Linked DNA regions of Callithrix jacchus. The protein of the gene in region 1 interacts with the protein of each later gene in a pairwise test. Links are inferred from orthologs where the notes say so. Each region holds a gene or a part of one and is shown on either strand. Other genes may lie near its edges. The genes, in order: BHLHE40, COX5B and WHR1.

Region 1 (5,677 bases):
TCTTTCTCCCATGGTGAACCTGCGTCCGTGGTCGCTTTTGAAGCACGGCTGCTCACTGCGCAAGTCGCCCTTCTCAGATTCTCCTCCATAGCCACTGTCTGTGTCCGTGTCACTGCCGCTCTGCTCCCCACTTGAGTGAGCAAAAGTCCGCTGGATGACTGGGACACAGTTTTTCCCAGGACCTTCCGAGCCTTTGGCCAGAGAGCTGGGTTTCTCCTTGAAGTCCATCACTTTGGGAGCTGGGTCTGATGGCTTCCTGGAGGTACCACCCTGAAGCAGCTCTGAGACCACGCGGTGGAGGTGGGTAACAAGCTGAGAAGACTTCAGGTCCCGAGTGTTCTCATGCTTGGCCAGATACTGAAGCACCTCCCGGGCACATGTCTGGAAGCCTGAGCAGAACATCTCTTGACCTGTTTCGACATTTCTCCCTGACAGCTCACCTGGGGAAACACATATCCGAAGAAAGACATTTCAGAAGGCCCTGTGATACACCTGGATACCTATGCCCCGAACACCAGGGGGCTTTCGTTTTCATTAAAAAAAAAAAATTGCATTACTGACCTGTGTTCTTAACTCCAAAAATAATATGCTCAGAGAAGAATTACACTGGAAAGTATAAAGAATTAAAATAATCCATATGCTAACACTCAGATAAAATATGATTTTTTAGTGGCTGCATAATACTTCATCATGGAAATGGACTGTAATTAATAGAGATGGGCTGTTTTCCCTGTTTTGGAATGTATAGGTTGTTTGTGAGTTTTCCATGTAAGTGAGGCAGCAGAGAACCTTCTGATATAAACCTAAGAGTCAATGCATATAACATTGCACCATGGCAAAATGGGCAGAGGCCGGACAGTCACAAAATGAGGAAAAGAATGAAGGTACAATATCACCTAAAGTAAACTTATTTTTAATGACTTGTAAAAGTTGCAGTCATGCTGTGATCTTTAATTAGGCTCTCTATTTCTATCTTTTTTCCATATATTCTATCCATGATCCTCAAGACATTAGGTATGACCATCTTCCTATTTTTAATGAGGAAACTGGCAGAAGCATTTGCTGGGATTTTGCAATTTTCATATGAGACTTTGAGAAGAAGAGAGAAAAGAATGAAATGAGGGAGTGGGTAGAATAATTCCCCCCAGTCTGTACAGTATTATTTGAAAAGAGTCAGACTAGAAGGTTAGAAGGTGACTCTGATTCTCTGGAAGTCAGTAGAAACGAATGATGAAACTTCAGTGGTTTCGCTAGATTGTGCAATTCACCAAGATACCTAGTGGCTATTCAGGGAACCACATGAAATGCAGGAAAAACTCCTGCTGTATCCTGCCAGCATCACACCACACACCAAGTAACAAGGAAGCAAAGACCCAGGAAAACACTGGGGCATACCCACGATCTCTTCTCCAATGACAGAGGGCTAAGAAGACCAACTGTAAAACACCCACAATGCAAATTATAGGTGCCTTGGCATTTTAAAAGGGAATAGGGAAATCTCCCAGAACCAAGAGATTCTCAAGCCAAAATGCCACAGGAATATCTTATCATTTTACTAATATGTATTCATGCCACGTGGCACACAGCATTTCAAATGAAAAGTCTGACCTTTTAGGAAAGATAAAACTGCATCTCCCCCAATGAACGTGCATAAGCAATTTGTTGCAGTCATGTTTCTTACATCAGATGTTGAGCCCACGGGCTCTCTATTTGTGCTCAAACTCATAAAGAGAAGATAGTCAGAATCAGCACTCACCAGCTTGTAAGCCGCTCTGCAGGGCAATGATTTTCTGCTGCTGCTGATCAATTAGGTTTGTTAGTGCTTTCACATGCTTCAAGGTAAGTTCAAGAACCACTGCTTTTTCCAGGTGACCCAAAGTCTGGAAGGAAAAGAGCCTTAGTCAGCTGTGAGGTCAGAGAAGTCCCACCTTTGGGACATTTATTAGCAATGAGAAATGTCTCTAATAGAAACAAAAAAGTGGAATAGTCTTTCCCAGTTGGCTGTTTTAAGTTTGTAGATCATGCTTTTAAAAAGACAGATAAACACACTCAAGTCTTTAATTCTTTAATTAAAGAATTTAAAAAACGGTGTCATCTATCTTTGGAGGCATTTTGGTAGCTGCAACTACCTCAGGAAAATGCTTTGACAGATAAATTTCTCCAGCAGCCTCTGCTGACCTTAACCCAGGGGAATCCAGAGATAACATTTCCCCGCAGTGGTGTCAACTCAGAGAGAGACCTCTATTATGTCTGGCAGCCAAGAGGCTTCCCCTACTTCTTTCCTTACACCCTTTCAGAACTTCCAGCTCATCCAGGCTTTTTTGCTCCTCCCGAAATACAATTTTTTTTTTCCATTTCCCCAACCAAAGGCTGCCAAGTAGCCGAGGGCTACTGTCAAGAAAGGACAGCCGTAAAAAAGGACACGCCAAAGCAAGTCCCCTTATTTAACAACAAGAAAAAAAGTGGGGGGGAGTGGTGGAGGGGAAGGGGTAAATAAAACGTGCGTTTTGCTTGGCGTAGTCTTTTAACTGAGAAAAACTAGAGAATCCTGAAAATCACCAGAAGTTAAACTCTTGAAAAGGAAGGCCAGCTGGTGTTGGAGCCAACTTGGAGAGGTCCGAGAGGTTCTCGCTTCATTTGCATGAATCTACCAGAAAACGCCAGGACTGGGGAGGGGGGAACCCTACCACAGAGCCACCCGCTAGCTCCGATCCGCCCGTCTGGTCTGCAGTTCCTTGCGGAACCTGCAGGCGGCGAGTGACCCCCGCCCGCCCTCTGGGCAAAGGAGCTGGGTTGGAAACGGGCCAGCTTCTCACTTACTGTAAGTTTGAGATGTTCGGGTAGGAGATCCTTCAGCTGGGCGATGCACTCGTTAATCCGGTCACGTCTCTTTTTCTCGATGAGCCGGTGCGGCAATTTGTAGGTCTCCTGCAAGACGCACGGGGAGGCGGTGGGCGCCTGGGGAAGGGGATAAGAAGGCTATCCTTCTCCCAGCCCCGCAGCAAGACTCCGTCAGAGGAGCAGAGTAGCACCCAGAACCATCATCTGCCCTTTCTTTTCCAAGTCACTCAGTAGAGGTACCGAGCCCACACCCTGCATCCCCTCGCCAGTCTCAAAGCGAGAAAACTTTTCTTGGAAACTCAGCGCGCGCGAGGGGCTGAGAGCGGGGTTCCCAGGGGTGCACTTCCTTACCTTGCTGTCCTCGCTCCGCTTTATTCCCCGCCTTGACTTATACACTTGGTACATGTGAGCAAAATCCATCCTGCAGGAAGAGAGACCAGGAAGGGTCGTGACTGCGTGCGCAAGGCTGCAGGTGTCCGGCCGGGCAAGAACCCCCCCGCGGTGTGCCCGGAGCTGCTCCAAGTTGAGAGTGGCTCATAACATGGGGCTGGAGCTGAGGCTTGAAGGGACCAAGGAGTGCCAACTTACCCTGGTAGGTCTCCGTGCTCCAGTCCCGGTGCTTTGGGCAGGCAGGCTGGGGGTGGTTGCGCGCTGGGGATCCGCTCCATTGCGCGACGAGCCGGGGCCACTGCGCGCTCTTGTCTGCACTAGTGGAGCGTCTCAGATGAGGACTGTCCTGGAGCGGGCTTCGGGGGTGTCTCCGCAGATGTTCCTTTGAGTCTGAGATCTTTGAAATCCCCTGGGCTGCTGGAATCTTCGGCTTTGAGATGGAGCTTCAGTTGGGGGCGTGCATAGCCCGGTGTCCCCGCGGCCTCTGGCTCCAACTCAGCGCACAGACTGGCGGTGTGTGCTCCCTGCGCGGTCTGCGCCGTGCGAGCCCAGTGAATGAGAAGTGGAGCGGGCGGGGAGGCGGGAGGGACCGGGGGGGGGGAGGTTAGGGCGGAGTAGGGGGGTTGGGGGGGACAAGCCGAGGAGTAATGGAGAGGCTGCGGGCTGGGTTAAATGGGAGCGAGTGGGTGGGTTGGAGCTACGTGTTCTACCCTGTGACTCCAGGCACGTCTGGCCACTGCCGGGGAGGGAAGGAGCGACCTGCCCGCCCTCCCCCGGCTTCATCACATGAGTCTCACGTGTTGGACAACGCTCCGGCGGCTGCTAGGGAGCCCCCACCCCCAGCCCCAGCCCCCAGGTGTCTGCGGCTGCGGCCGTCTTTCCCCGAAGAGGAGGTGGCAGCGCGACCTGGGTCCTGCCCAGCTGGGTGGGGGGCGCGGAAGCTGGAAGGCACCGGGGAATTGGGGGAGGGGGAGAGTTGGTAACGTGGGCGAACCTGCCCCAGGGAAATGAAGTAAGTTCCCGTCTCCTGGGAGGGAACGGGGGAGGACGGATCCGCCCGCGTCTGACTCAAGCCGGGAGAGGAATATCCCCTTGCTAGCTCCAGCCCAGCCCTCTTCCTCCTCCCCCGCCCGGCCCGCTTGGAGGAAGCGGCGCGCAGCGGAGGGAGTCGCCCGGCCCCCCAGCCTTACCCAGAGGCTGGGGTTTCTTTCCGTCCTGGCTTCCCTGCCCCCACCGCTCACCCTTGTGTCCAGGAATTGCCCGCCTTGGGGAGGGACTGAGGGGCGGGGCGGATGTCACCCCATGGGAAGCGGGCCGGCAGCCAAGCGAAGGGGCAGCTGAGGCTGCCGCCGAGCACGCCGCGCGCACCTGACCGCCAAGGGTGTGAGCCGAGGACCCCTCGCTCCCCTGTAGCTCCGCTCCCAGGCACAGCCTGCGGGCAGGCGGGCACCCGGTTGCGCAGCCCCCTGGGTGCCCCAATGTCACCCCCTTCCTCCAGGCCAGTCAAGCACAGAAAGATACCGGGCGCGGTGCCCGGCGTTCCCTCCCTCCTCTGCCCCCTCCAGAGCAGAGGCGCCCGGGTCGCCTCCCCTCCGGCTGCAGCGTTACACAACCGCGGCGGCGGCGCCTGCCCTGCAGCAGCGCAGGGCGTGACGCTTCACGTGGCCGGGGCTCAGGCCGCAGCACGGCGGACCGCGAGCCCCTCTGCGTGGACCCGGGGACTGAGACCCCGGGGACGTGGTGCGCCAGCCGGGATCCGCCTTCTCCCTGTCTGTTAGGAACTTCGGCGGCGCTGTTTGCGGTCAGCACCCGGGGCAGGAGGGATGAGAGAGACAAGAAAAAAAAACACTGGTTACGGTGAAATCTTAGGATTCATGCAGTCGACACATGTTTAATGAGCCCCTTACTCTGTGCTAGGCGCTGTGCTTATGTGTGAATCCTACATGGACCTTGCCCTTGAATTTATCCTCTAGGAAGAGGATAAATTGAGCAATGAAGCAAAGGCAGTCCTGGGAAAATTGTATCGAGGCCACTGGCTGACAGAGGGGAAAAAAAACAAACAACTTGTGCTGCTTTGTGTTTTGTTTTTAATTTGATGCTAACCAAGATGCCTGGGTAGAGAAGTGTGGAGAAGCCAACCTAAAGCCCCGAGCTCGGGGCGGAAAGACCTCCTCCAGCGGCCCAGATCTTTGCCATCTCACTTAGGCTGCCGGAGGGCCCCACCCACCTCCCCCGGAAAAGTCCGGGCTCTGTGACCTTCTAACTCAGCCGGGAGCAGGGAAAACAGCTGAAACTCCAATCCCTCGGCGTGAGCAGCCCCGATACAGTCAGAGGAGGGAGCGAGTGGAAACTCATGACTAAAATAAGGCCTGGCTGGGGATTTCACTGACCTCTGTGCTCCCCTGCCCTGCAAGTTCGGGGAGTTGAGAGATGACTGTAAGCCTTT
Region 2 (5,677 bases), on another chromosome or scaffold:
AAGCAACTTACTAATAATTTATATAGTAGTTATATGTTTTTATATTTTATATTCATATATGCAGTGATGCTCAATGGGGATTTTGCAAATCCAGGGGGCATGTGGCAATAGCTGAAGATGTTTTTGGTTATCATGTCGGGGAAGTGCTAATGGCATAGGGTTAAATCCTACAATGCACAACCTCCCTGTAAATAATTATCAACCCAAGATGTCAGTTGTGCTGAGCTTGAGAAAACCTGGTATAGGGAACGAAAAAAAGGATAAGCATCAAACTGCTAGCTTTTTCCTTACATATCTGTCCTGTTTGACCTACCGTGTATATTTATTTTGACAACTAAAAATTAGCCTATAAAAGAATACTCAGTAAGTTTATTGTGCTGGCAAAGACAATGATGGAGCGGAGGTGGCAGACCGGTCCCCAAGCCAAACTGTTTCTCAAGGAGACCTGAGGGACAGGGTGTGAATGGAGAGTAGTGGGAACTGGAAGCAGCAGGGGATGCTTCCAGCATGTGGGGACATCTGGGGAGCCTGGCCCTGACCTTGGAGTTCACTCACACAATCTAAATAATCCCAGAGTGAGGCTGAGGTTTTCCTGAGTTAGATAAAGGCCTGCAAAAATTTCCTACTATTAGGCAAACCTACAATGAGAGTGAGAAACAAGCCTAAAGTCAGTTTCCATCTTACAGCCTGGAGTAAAACATTCCTGGTCAGGCAGCTGGGAATCATAACACATCAGAGCTGAATATCTCACTGGTTTGCTGAGGGGCAAGTTAGTAGGTGTTCCTCAGGAAAGGGTTTTGTGGTCAATTAAGATAGGGAAACTTTGGCTTAAACTGCAGGAAAATTAAACAAAAGGTCTTGCTGCAAGCCTAATCAGAGCCTTGATTATGTTCGTGCAGCTCCAAAAGAGTGATCATGAAACGCAGGACTTCCCTGTCTTGACCAAGCCCTTTTTCTTAAGATCATATCTTGAGACTTGGATGACATGGAATACACTTGGGAAATACTAACCTAGTTGAACGAGTTTTACTGATGAAGAAATGGTGGCCCAAAGGAGAAAAAGCGACTGGCTGAACTAGCTGGTGAGGCTACTTTCCAGACCAATGCTTTTTCTCCTGCCAAACACCTAAACACAGTTGCAAATTAACTATAGGTCCTTGGGGAACATTGCTCAGAATTTTTTCCCTCAATTCAATTTGGAGGCGTTGCAGTGGAGGTGAAAGAGAAGGGAGTAACAGTGAAGCCATTCAAAGCAAAAACCACCTTTAAAGGAAATCTTGGCCTTTAAAGGTGGTTTTTGTATCAGAATACAGGTGTTTGTTTTTTTTTTAATTGGTGGAGGGGGCACCCATGAAGACCAGACGTGCTCCTGGGAGGCAATGCTCCACCGTGTCCTTTTGAAAATATCATAGCCTGCATGAGACAAGTGGGAGCATCTGAGCCTTCAACTCTACCCAGTTTGCTTCCAATTGACCTCACTGGGCCAGGAGAAGCCCTATAAACTGGTTTTATATAGTCTATCCAAGTAGTAAATTTACTAAAATTACTGGATCCTACTATATACCAGACCTCTGCAAGGCATTGAAAATTCAGTAATGAGCTAATTCCACTCTAAAGCGATTTTTCTATCTGGTAGGGAAACTCAGATACCGCATGCAGCTAGCCTGTCATAGGGCTACACAGACTAAAGCTCACCCTAAGAAATTTGCACATCTTAGCCTGTGGGGGCAACGGAAAGCTATGGACGGAAGATGTTTTCCGTTTCAAACGGAATTCCAGTCACAGCAGGATCTGACTCCATTTCCCATTATCAACTCCCCTTTTTAACTTCTCCTCCCCTAGTGGCCTCGAAGAGTGGCCACTTTCTCTCTTCACATCAGCAGGCTCTTGGTCCTGGGCGGGGTCCTGCCGCCGTCCTGTCCTCCTCCCTAGGCCGGGACCCCGCAGGGACCCCGGCGCCTAACCCCCCACAGTACAACTCTAACAGGAAACTGGGCCAGTACTGCAGGTAGGTCCCGTCCAATGCAACACGCTCGCGACGGCTCACGCACTGCCAGAGAACCAGCGTTGCCACTAACTAGCCTAGCAAGGAACGCAGAGATCTTTAGGAGCCCACTTTCAAATTCAAATCATTTGGGGTCCAGTCAGTCTCTTGACAGGCGGGGACTTAATGACTTCCATCAGTAGCCTCCAAGTGCAGGCCAGATACAGAGGAACTCCAATGTGGTTTAGCCGCTGAGCTCCAAACACCAAAACAACTTGCTCACCTCTCAGCCTTACTAAAGAGCAAACCCGCCCCCAAGCCTCAGCTACTGTGCGGTGCAGGGAAAGGCACACTTGAGCATGCGCAGTTTCCGCCCCCGCCAAGGTGGCGGGAGTGGGCGGGCCCGAGGGCGGGGAAGGAGCGGAAAGCTGACCGGGAGGAGAAAGAAGCCCGCCCCCGGAAGTCTCTCCTGTCTTTGCATCCTGTTCCCGGAAGTGCTGTTGCTTGTCGCGGACGCGATGGCTTCAAGGTTACTTCGCGGAGCCGGAGCGCTGGCCGCGCAGGCCTTGAGGGCTCGCGGTCCCAATGGTGCGGCCGCGGTGCGCTCCATGGCCTCTGGAGGTACTCGGCTCCCCAGGCTTGCCAGGGACCGGAGTATTGCCCTCCCGTAGTGGTCCCAGGGCGGCAGAGCGGGGCGTGACGTGCAGCTACTAGAGGTCCCAGTGACCGCATACGGTCCGGAGTGTCTCAGGCTCTGCAGGCATCTTCCTATAATTCCAGGCCGCTGCTCCTGCCGCCCCCCCGAACTGACTCCTCTGCGAAAGTATCCTAAACGGAGGTGCCGGGTGACCTTGGGAGGGGTGGGGACTGCGACCGGGTTGGGGAGGGGTCCGGCCGCCCTTCAAACCTGCGCCCGCCTCAAGCCGAGTGGGCTCTAACTTGCTTTTAGACAAATGTCGACAAATTGGTCTCGGTGGTTGGAGAAGGAAAAGCTCCTACGCCGGGCGCTCACGACTGTAATCCCAGCACCTTGGGAGGCCGAGGTGGGCGGATCACCTGAGATCAGGAGTTCGAGACAAGCCTGGCCAACACGGTGAAACCCCGTCTCTATTAAAAATACAAAAATTGGGCTGGGCGTGGTGGCTCACGCCTGTAATCCCGGCACGTTGGGAGGCCGAGGCGGGCGGATCATCATCTGCGGTTGGGAGATCGAGGCCAGCCAGGCCAGGACGATAGGAAACCCCGTTTCTATCAAAATTACGAAAATTAGCCAGGCGTGGTGGAGGGCACCTGTAATCCCAGGTACTGGAGAGGCTGAGGCAGGATAATTGCTTGAACCCGGGAGGCGGAGGTTGCAGTGAGCCGAGATCATAGCACTGCACCCCAGCCTGGGCAACAAGAATGAAACTCCTTAAAAAAAAAAAAAAATTAGCTGGTCGTGGTGGCGTGCTCCTGTAATCCCGGCTACACAGGAGGCGGGAGAATCGCTTAAACCCAGGAGGCAGAGGTTCCAGTGAGCCGACAACTTGCCATTACACTCCAGCCTGGGCAACGAGGAAAAAAAAAAAAAAGCAGCAGCTCCCCCAAGTGCTGCCCCTTGTGTGGATCATGATTTGGTGGTTCTTTGGGGACCATGGATATGAGTAGCTTTTAGGAGCTTGTGAGCCCACTAAAACGTATGCAGAAGTTTCAGTGTGGCATTTTTCTTCTTGATCATTTCTGTTCCTAATTTTTCTATCATTTCAGTCAGCATCATAATTCACATATCTTCCTGTAGGTGGTGTTCCTAGTGATGATGACCAGGCGACTGGGTTGGAGAGGGAGATCATGTTGGCTGCAAGAAAGGGACTGGTGAGAAACTCCTTTCTGTGTCTTCCGTGGAACTTACGTTCTTGTATGTGTTCATAGTAGTCTCCTCTCTGGGAGTATTTGATCCAGGGAACTTGGCTTATAGGAACACGCTGAGCTTCTGGAACGTAGGGCTTATTTGGCATAATGGTTCAATTCTTGTGTTTTTTTCAGGACCCATACAATATACTGCCCCCAAAGGGAGCTTCAGGCACTAAGGAAGACCCTAATTTAGTTCCTTCTGTCACCAACAAGAGAATAGTGGGCTGTATCTGTAAGTACCTCACCTCTATTTCTTTATCCACTTAATATATATCCTATAGTACAGGAGTCTATAAGCTGCTTTAAATCTTTTTTTTTTTTTTGAGACGGAGTTTCGCTGTTGTTACCCAGGCTGGAGTGCAATGGCGCGATCTCGGCTCACCACAACCTCCGCCTCCTGGGTTCAGGCAATTCTCCTGCCTCAGCCTCTGAGTAGCTGGGATTACAGGCACGCACCACCATGCCCAGCTAATTTTTTGTATTTTTAGTAGAGATGGGGTTTCACCATGTTGACCAGGATGGTCTCGATTTCTTGACCTCGTGATCCACCCGCCTCGGCCTCCCAAAGTGCTGGGATTACAGGTGTGAGCCACCGGGCCTGGCCAAGCTGCTTTAAATCTTATAGTGTGTGAATACATGTTTGTAAATGAGTTTCCCTATGGGTCTTGTTCAAGCCTCATTATGCCTGATAGTTCATCCTTCCTGGAAAGAAGCGCAGCACGGTGGAAAGACTGGCTCAGTGGAGGTGTGGCATGAAGGAGTATCCACCCAGCAAATATTTATTGTTATATTGCTTCTATGCCAGGCATCGTTTTAGACAGTAGGGATACATACCAGAATGGACCTCCTTTGTGTTCTACATGGGCAGGGGAATTGTTAGAATTTACAGTGAGCCTTGGCTGGGTGCTGTGGCTCACACCTGTAGTACCAGCACTTTGGGAGGGTGAGGCGAGCAGATCACGAGGTCAGGAGATCCAGACCGTCCTGGATAACATGGTGAAACCCTGTCTCTACCAAAAATACAAAAAATTAGCTGGGCATGGTGGTGCACACCTGTAATCCCAGCTACTTGGGAGGCTGAGGTAGGAGAATCGCTTGAACCTGGGAGGTGGAGGTTGCAGTGAGCAGAGATGGCACCACTGCACTCTAGCCTGGGTGACGGGGCGAGATGAAAAAAAACAAAAGAATTTACAGTGACCCTGATATTAGGTCATTTTACTTATAGGTGGACTCAGAGCCTCAATTTCTTCATCTGAATAATGGGAGGAGGGCTTGAACTGACCATTATTGGTCACTATCTTGACCATAGTCTGTCTTGTGTATCAGAGGTGTCTGAGGAAAAGAAATTCATGTTGAAAGTCTCCCTTTCTAGACAGAATGACTCAACCACCTTTTTTCCCTTTTAGGTGAAGAGGACAACAGTACTGTCATCTGGTTTTGGTTGCACAAAGGCGAGGCCCAGCGATGCCCCAGCTGTGGAGCCTATTACAAGCTGGTGCCCCACCAGCTGGCACACTGAGCGCCTGCACTGAGTTACTCAAAATATGCTATAAAACTTCTTTCCAATAAAGACTAGCCATTGCATTGGCTTCTTCTCCCATAGATGGCTGGTCTTACCTCTTTCCTGTATTTTTTGGTAGGCATAGAATATTCTTATTTTCGAAATAGCTATCTGTTAATGCTAACTTGCCATCCACTTACTGAAAGTGGATGACCAGTGTATAGTGCTTAGATTAATAATAAGAATGGATTGACAACCCATAATGCAATGAATGGAACCACCTGGTATGAGGTAAAGGGGCG
Region 3 (5,677 bases), on another chromosome or scaffold:
ACTGTGCTCTGGGCAAAGCTAAGGAAGGCAGCACAGAAGTTCATGCACACAGAGGGATTCCAGCCATCACGGTCATTCTGGAACAGGCAGAAGAGGAGGCATAAGACTGGCAGTTGGGGTGGTAGGAGGAGGGGAAGACAGGCTGCTGCCCTGGACATTAGACCTGTGGTCTTGGTGTTTGGGGATACGATGGGAGCTACAACACCATTCCCTTACCCTAACATATTCAAACATCTCCATGGTAGGAAAGGTCTTGAGAGAAGAGACAAAACCTTCTGGGTTACGGAAGCCAGCAACAACATTCGGGACCCCTGGGAGGAATGACTGAGCCCACCATTTCAGAAGCTTGTGTCTGTCAGGAAAAGCAAGGGGTCAGTGGCGCCCCTTGTCTACCATCCATTCTGCCTTCACCCTCCTCCCCAAGTCCCTTTCCCAGCCTTCAAGTCTAGGCTTTCGCCCTGCCGACCCCTATCCTGAACCTGTAGAAGCTCCTCCATTGGCCAGGGCTGTGCATCTCCTTGGAGGTCTTGAGTTCCACATAGCAGGTGGGGGGCTGTGTGGATGGGGCCTGGGGGTCTGTGCAGTCTACCTCCCCTGAGAAGAGCAGAGGGTGGCTTCCCAGGCGGCTGCGTAGCACAGAGCAGAAGGCCACGTTGGTGTTAACCTCCCCAGAGGGGTCTGGGGAGCTTCCAGGTTTGTCTGCGTAAGGAGAGAAGCAGCAGCAGGGTGGGGTCTCTCAATCTCTGGGAAGGGGAAAGGGGCTATGAAGCAGGGGCAACTCACCTGCACACATGTACTGCTCAAATTTGTATCCCATGTACATAAGCTCCCGGAGGAGCAGCGGGCGAGCAAGCCTCTGAGCCCGAGCGGCCGGTGTCTCCACCTCACTCAGGTATAGTGTTCCCTGGAACCGGGAGGCTGCCAGCTGCCAGCCCTCCTGCTGCTCATACGGTGTCGTCAGCAATTTTGTCAGGTGCCCCCGCCAAGTCACTATGGCCCCTGCCAGCCAGCCTGGACCCCTGAGAGAGAGTTACAGTCTGACGGTCTGACTCAAGCATTAGTGAGATGCTCCCTCCCAAGAATAGCCTGTTTTTTTCTAAGGAGTCATTCTCACCCCAGCTTTGGCTCCTAATTTTAGAGGGTAGGTGCATGTCTCCAGATCTACTGCCCGCTATGCTTTGCTCACCCCTCCAACTGGCCTCGGTGTTCCAGAAGCCAGCACAGCAGGTGGTCCAGCCTTTCTTGGACCTCCTCGTCCCGGGGCTGGTATCGATCCGGGTATCCGTCTCTGAGGTCAAAGTTGGGGCCTGGACCATTGGTGGGGGGTGGGCTGTAGTAGCGTAGGGCTCGGGCATCTCCATGGTACTGGCGTTGAGCATCCAGGGAGAAGCAGCCCAGTTCCGAAGGGCGCCGGTAGAAAGGAAAGGGCCCAGAGTAGAGGGCAGGGTCTGTTGGCAGAGAAGGTGCTGGACGGGGTAGTTTGTTCCGAGGCTCAGCTACCTCTGTCTTCCCAACTTCTCTCTTGGTCCCCCTGGGCTCCATGAAGTCCTACGGGAGGCAGGGGGAAAGAATTTCCATTTTACAGAGGAGGCCTGGAGAAGGGTGAATGTGGTTTAGGACTAAGCGAACCACCTGATCGCAAGGCTCCGGCCGTGAAACATGCAGGCCTCCCAGACGGCACCTAGGCCAAGCTCTCATCCTGCCTCTTTCCTTGTCCTTTACCCACCCTCCCTTCAGGTTCTCCTGCAGTGAGGTTAGGAAGGACGTCTGCGCTCAGATCAAGAATTTGGTTACCTCAATGCCCGCGCAACTTGCACCTCTGTAGAGCTCTGACGTCACAGAGGCCGAAGGATGCAAAAGTGGTTTTTCTGCTTTCGATGATGCAATCATTCAGCGACAGGCGGGTAAACCCTTGGCGGGGCGGGGGAGGTATGAGCTTCCCTCAAGAGGTTGATCCTAACGTGGTCACCGGCGCCCCTCCACGCCGCACACGAGTCCCAGGGAGTGCGTGCTCTTGGAGGGACCCAATCCGCTGTAGGCGTGGGGCCCGGCCCGGCGGAGGTGATGCTGGTATCTGCGTCGGCAAGGGCCCCTTCCAGCACGGGCCTGAGGGGTGACAAGTTGACGCCCCTTTCGTCATCACGTCTTGGTACATACGCTGTGTCACCTGGTCTACTGGAAGGGACGCCCGGGGAAGCCGTACGTCACTGCTCTGCGCCGGAAGACCCTATTATCCGGTTATCTTCCCTCTACCTCTACCTCTTCCCCGGTATCATAAAATCCCGGGATATGAGCCGGAAGAGGCATCGCCTGGTCTCGGAGACCAGTGGACTTAAGAGGCGGCAGAAACGAGGGCCTGTGGAATCGGATCCTCTGCGGGGAGAGCGAGGTAACCATGGCAACCCCGGGGCGGGGCTAAAGACCCCAGCTGGGCGGGGCCTCGCTTCCGGTGGCCGAGAGTTTTGTGAGAACAGCGTCCCTGCCCCAGTTCCCTGTCAGTGACCCGGTTTCTCTGCCCAGGGTCGGCGCGCGCGGCTGTCTCAGAGCTCATGCAGCTGTTCCCGCGAGGCCTGTTTGAGGACGCGCTGCCGCCCATCGTGCTGAGAAGCCAGGTGTACAGCCTAGTGCCTGACAGGACCGTGGCCGACCGGCAGCTGGTGAGGGGCATCGGTGCGACGGCCGGAGGCCCCTTTCCTAACTCCTAAATTTTCCTGTCACTCAATCACTCCGTCAGCCGTTCAGCAAGCTTTAGGCCTTTCAGGGGAGGGAACTGTGCCAGGCACTGGGGTGCCACAGAGAACGCTACAGACCCTGTTAAAAGGCCCGCAGAGAGTACAGGGCATTTCAAATCTGGGAGGTAGAAGAACGAGGGTTTTGGGGAAACCGAGTCATGGGGCATGGTTTCCCCTTAGGAGTGCAGTTCGACAGGCCTTGTACATCAGTGTGGTTTCCATCTTACACTGAGGCGATGAGCTTGTAGAGAATGTCATAGAGGAGAGGGAATGGTGTATTGGAGTTAGTGGATGAGGCAGAGGGGTCAGCTAAGAAGATACTGCATTTGAGAAGTGAAGGCCTAAACTAGGTCAGTGCAGCAGGGAGGGAGAGGAGAGTGAGGAAGAGGGAGGAGTCGAGGACAACTCAGACTTTCCAGATGACTGTGTGTCTGGTGATATTAGGAGCACATTTAGTTGTTGGAGTGCAGATGATGTGTTTAATTTTGTACAAGTTGAGTTGATGGTGCATGTGGAGCCTCCAAAGACAAAAATTATTAGGCAGTTAGATATGAGAGTTGGAGAGAATTCTGGGCCAGTGATGTAGAACAAGTCATGGAGGTGTGAATAGCAAGTGGTTAATTCTGTGTATGTGGGTGAGATTCAGTAGGAAGCGTGGGTAGAGGAGTGATTTCTAACCTTTATATAAGCGTTAAAAGGTGATAAAAGCTGTGGCTATCTCTTCAGAAAAATGCATGCATGTCACATATACACAGAGTATATGTACAGTTAAGGGAGATATATTTCACTAATCCTCCAAGGTCTGTGGTTAAGGACTCCAGATTTAGAGTGGAAGATAATAGGGTCAAATCCATAATCCTCGGAAACACTATCATTTAAGGCAGTGTTACTGAATGTATGACCTCAGTTATTGCCTGTGTTAAAATTACATGGGTTGCTTATTAAAAGCATATAGGTTCCTGGGACTCATCCAAGGTTAATGAATTACGATCTCTTGGTAGATTTGGGAATCTACATTTTTGAACTGTCTCAAGGACTTTTTAAGTGTGCCTTAAAATTTGAGATCCACTGATGAAAAGGGAAAGCAGAAGAAGAGGAATATATGACAGAGGCAGAGAAAATTGCCTAAGTTAAGAGGAACCCAGAGGCTGGCACAGTGGCTCACACCTGTAATCCCAGCACTTTGGGATGCCTAGGTGAATCTTTTGAGTTCATGAATTCAAGACCAGCATGGGCAACATGACAAAACCCCATCTCTACAAAAAATACAAAAATTAGCCAGGCATGGTGTTACATGCCTGTAGAACTACTGGGGAGCCTGAGGTGGGAGTACTGCTTGAGCTGGGGAGGCGGATGTTGTAGTGAGCTGAGATAGTACCACTGCACCCCAGCCCGGGTGACAGAGCTAGACCTTGTCTCAAAAAAAAAAAAAAAAAAGTAACCCAGGAAGAGGACTATTGTGAAAGTAAAGAAAATTTTGAGAAAGTGAAGTAGTTGGCAGTATTACAACCTGTGATTCAAGCCAGTGCCCCATGTCTAAGAAGAGGGAAGAGGTAAAGTAAAACGTAAACTGAAATCTAAGCTGAGTGTGGTGGCTCATACCTGTAATCCCATCACTTTGGGAGGCTGAGGCAGGAGGATAGCTTGAAACCAAAAGTTTGAGACCAGCCTGAGCAACAAAGTGAGACCCCCCCATCTCTATTAAATAAATAAAATAAAACACAAAAATTCTTAGCTGAGCATGGTAGTGTGCACCTGTAATTCTAGCTATTTGGGAAGTTGAGGCAGAAGGATTGCTTGAGCCCAGGAGTTTGAGGCTGCAGTGAGCTATGATGCATGACTGCACTCCAGCCTGGGTGACAGAGTAAGACCCTGTCTCTAAAAAAATGAAAATGAGGCTGGGCATGATGGCTCATGCCTGTAATCCCAGCACTTTGGGAGGCCAAGGTAGGCAGATCACTTGAGGTCAGGAGTTTGAGACTAGCCTGACCAACATGGAGAAACCATGTTGTAATTTGTACTAAAAATACAAATTAGCTGGGTGTGGTGGTGCATACCTGTAATCACAGCTACTCAGGAGGCTGAGGCAGGAGAATCCCTTGAACTAGGAAGGTGGAGGTTGCGGTGAGCTGAGATCACACCATTGCAATCCAGCCTGGGCAACAAGAGCAAAACTCCATCTCAAAAAAAAAAAAAAAAAAAAAAAAAAAGATAAAAAAACAAGAATAAAAGAAAAAAGAAAGAAAGAAAAGAAAAAGAAAAAAAAATGAAAACAACAACAAAAAAACCCCGAACTGAAATCTGCATTTAGCAGGTAGAAGTTTAATAGTGATCTGTCAAGAAAAGAGGGAAGAAAAGGAAGAGAGAGCTAGGCTTCCTCACTAAGGCTCGTTTTAGGAAGCATGCTAGATGGAACCACTCCTTAAAGAGTATTTGTTTTTAATATATTGGTGTTAGCTTTTATTTTTAAAAACCTTTGAAAATTGCAGAATGAAAATACAAACATACGTAATTTAAATAATGTTTATAAAGCAGATACCCATCTAGCCACTGCCTAGGTCAAATTATAGAACATGGCCAGTATCACATGTATATTCTCTGATCAAAACATCTCTGATCAGAATGTTCCTGGGAGATGACTGCTATGGTAATTGTTCCCTTAGTTCTCATTCTCTTTTGTTTTTTGAGATGGATTCTCGCCCTGTCACCCAGGCTGGAGTCCAGTGGTGTGATCTCAGCTCACTTCAATCTCCCCCTTCCGGGTTCAAGTGATTCTTCTGTCTCAGCCTCCCAAGAAGCTGGGACTACAAATGCATACCTGGCTAATTTTTGTATTTTTAGTAGAGGTGGGGTTTCATCATTGCTGGCCAGGCTCATCTTGAACTCCTGGCCATCTTGGCCTCCCAAAGTGGTGGGATTACAGGCATGAGCCACAGTGCCCAGCC

The links.
Region 2: the proteins of BHLHE40 (region 1) and COX5B interact in binary tests that used the Homo sapiens proteins (3 or more experiments, as listed by UniProt). The two-hybrid records come from large-scale screens. The link is inferred for Callithrix jacchus from reciprocal best matches to the Homo sapiens genes BHLHE40 and COX5B.
Region 3: the proteins of BHLHE40 (region 1) and WHR1 interact in a two-hybrid assay, tested with the Homo sapiens proteins (2 studies listed by BioGRID). The two-hybrid records come from large-scale screens. The link is inferred for Callithrix jacchus from reciprocal best matches to the Homo sapiens genes BHLHE40 and WHR1.

What each region holds. Positions count from the first base shown.
Region 1 is NC_133516.1:62,118,275-62,123,951, reverse strand, and holds the start of BHLHE40 (class E basic helix-loop-helix protein 40), read right to left. Parts: upstream 3,789-5,677; 5' UTR 3,510-3,788; coding exon 3,430-3,509; exon of another isoform or gene 3,263-3,429; coding exon 3,193-3,262; intron 3,078-3,192; exon of another isoform or gene 2,929-3,077; coding exon 2,821-2,928; intron 1,881-2,820; coding exon 1,757-1,880; intron 441-1,756; coding exon 1-440. UniProt on the Homo sapiens protein: Transcriptional repressor involved in the regulation of the circadian rhythm by negatively regulating the activity of the clock genes and clock-controlled genes.
Region 2 is NC_133515.1:6,950,010-6,955,686, forward strand, and holds COX5B (cytochrome c oxidase subunit 5B, mitochondrial), read left to right. Parts: upstream 1-2,483; 5' UTR 2,484-2,502; coding exon 2,503-2,605; intron 2,606-3,761; coding exon 3,762-3,835; intron 3,836-4,006; coding exon 4,007-4,106; intron 4,107-5,280; coding exon 5,281-5,393; 3' UTR 5,394-5,476; downstream 5,477-5,677. UniProt on the Homo sapiens protein: Component of the cytochrome c oxidase, the last enzyme in the mitochondrial electron transport chain which drives oxidative phosphorylation.
Region 3 is NC_133505.1:39,489,126-39,494,802, forward strand, and holds the start of WHR1 (winged helix repair factor 1), read left to right. Parts: upstream 1-1,892; 5' UTR 1,893-2,064; coding exon 2,065-2,389; intron 2,390-2,520; coding exon 2,521-2,657; intron 2,658-5,677. Other genes in the region: DXO (decapping and exoribonuclease protein), read right to left, coding at 1-77, 217-352, 480-699, 784-1,019, 1,187-1,548, 1,795-1,890. UniProt on the Homo sapiens protein: DNA-binding protein which is required for efficient transcription-coupled nucleotide excision repair (TC-NER). Acts as part of a TC-NER complex which assembles and interacts with RNA polymerase II (RNAPII) when it stalls at DNA lesions.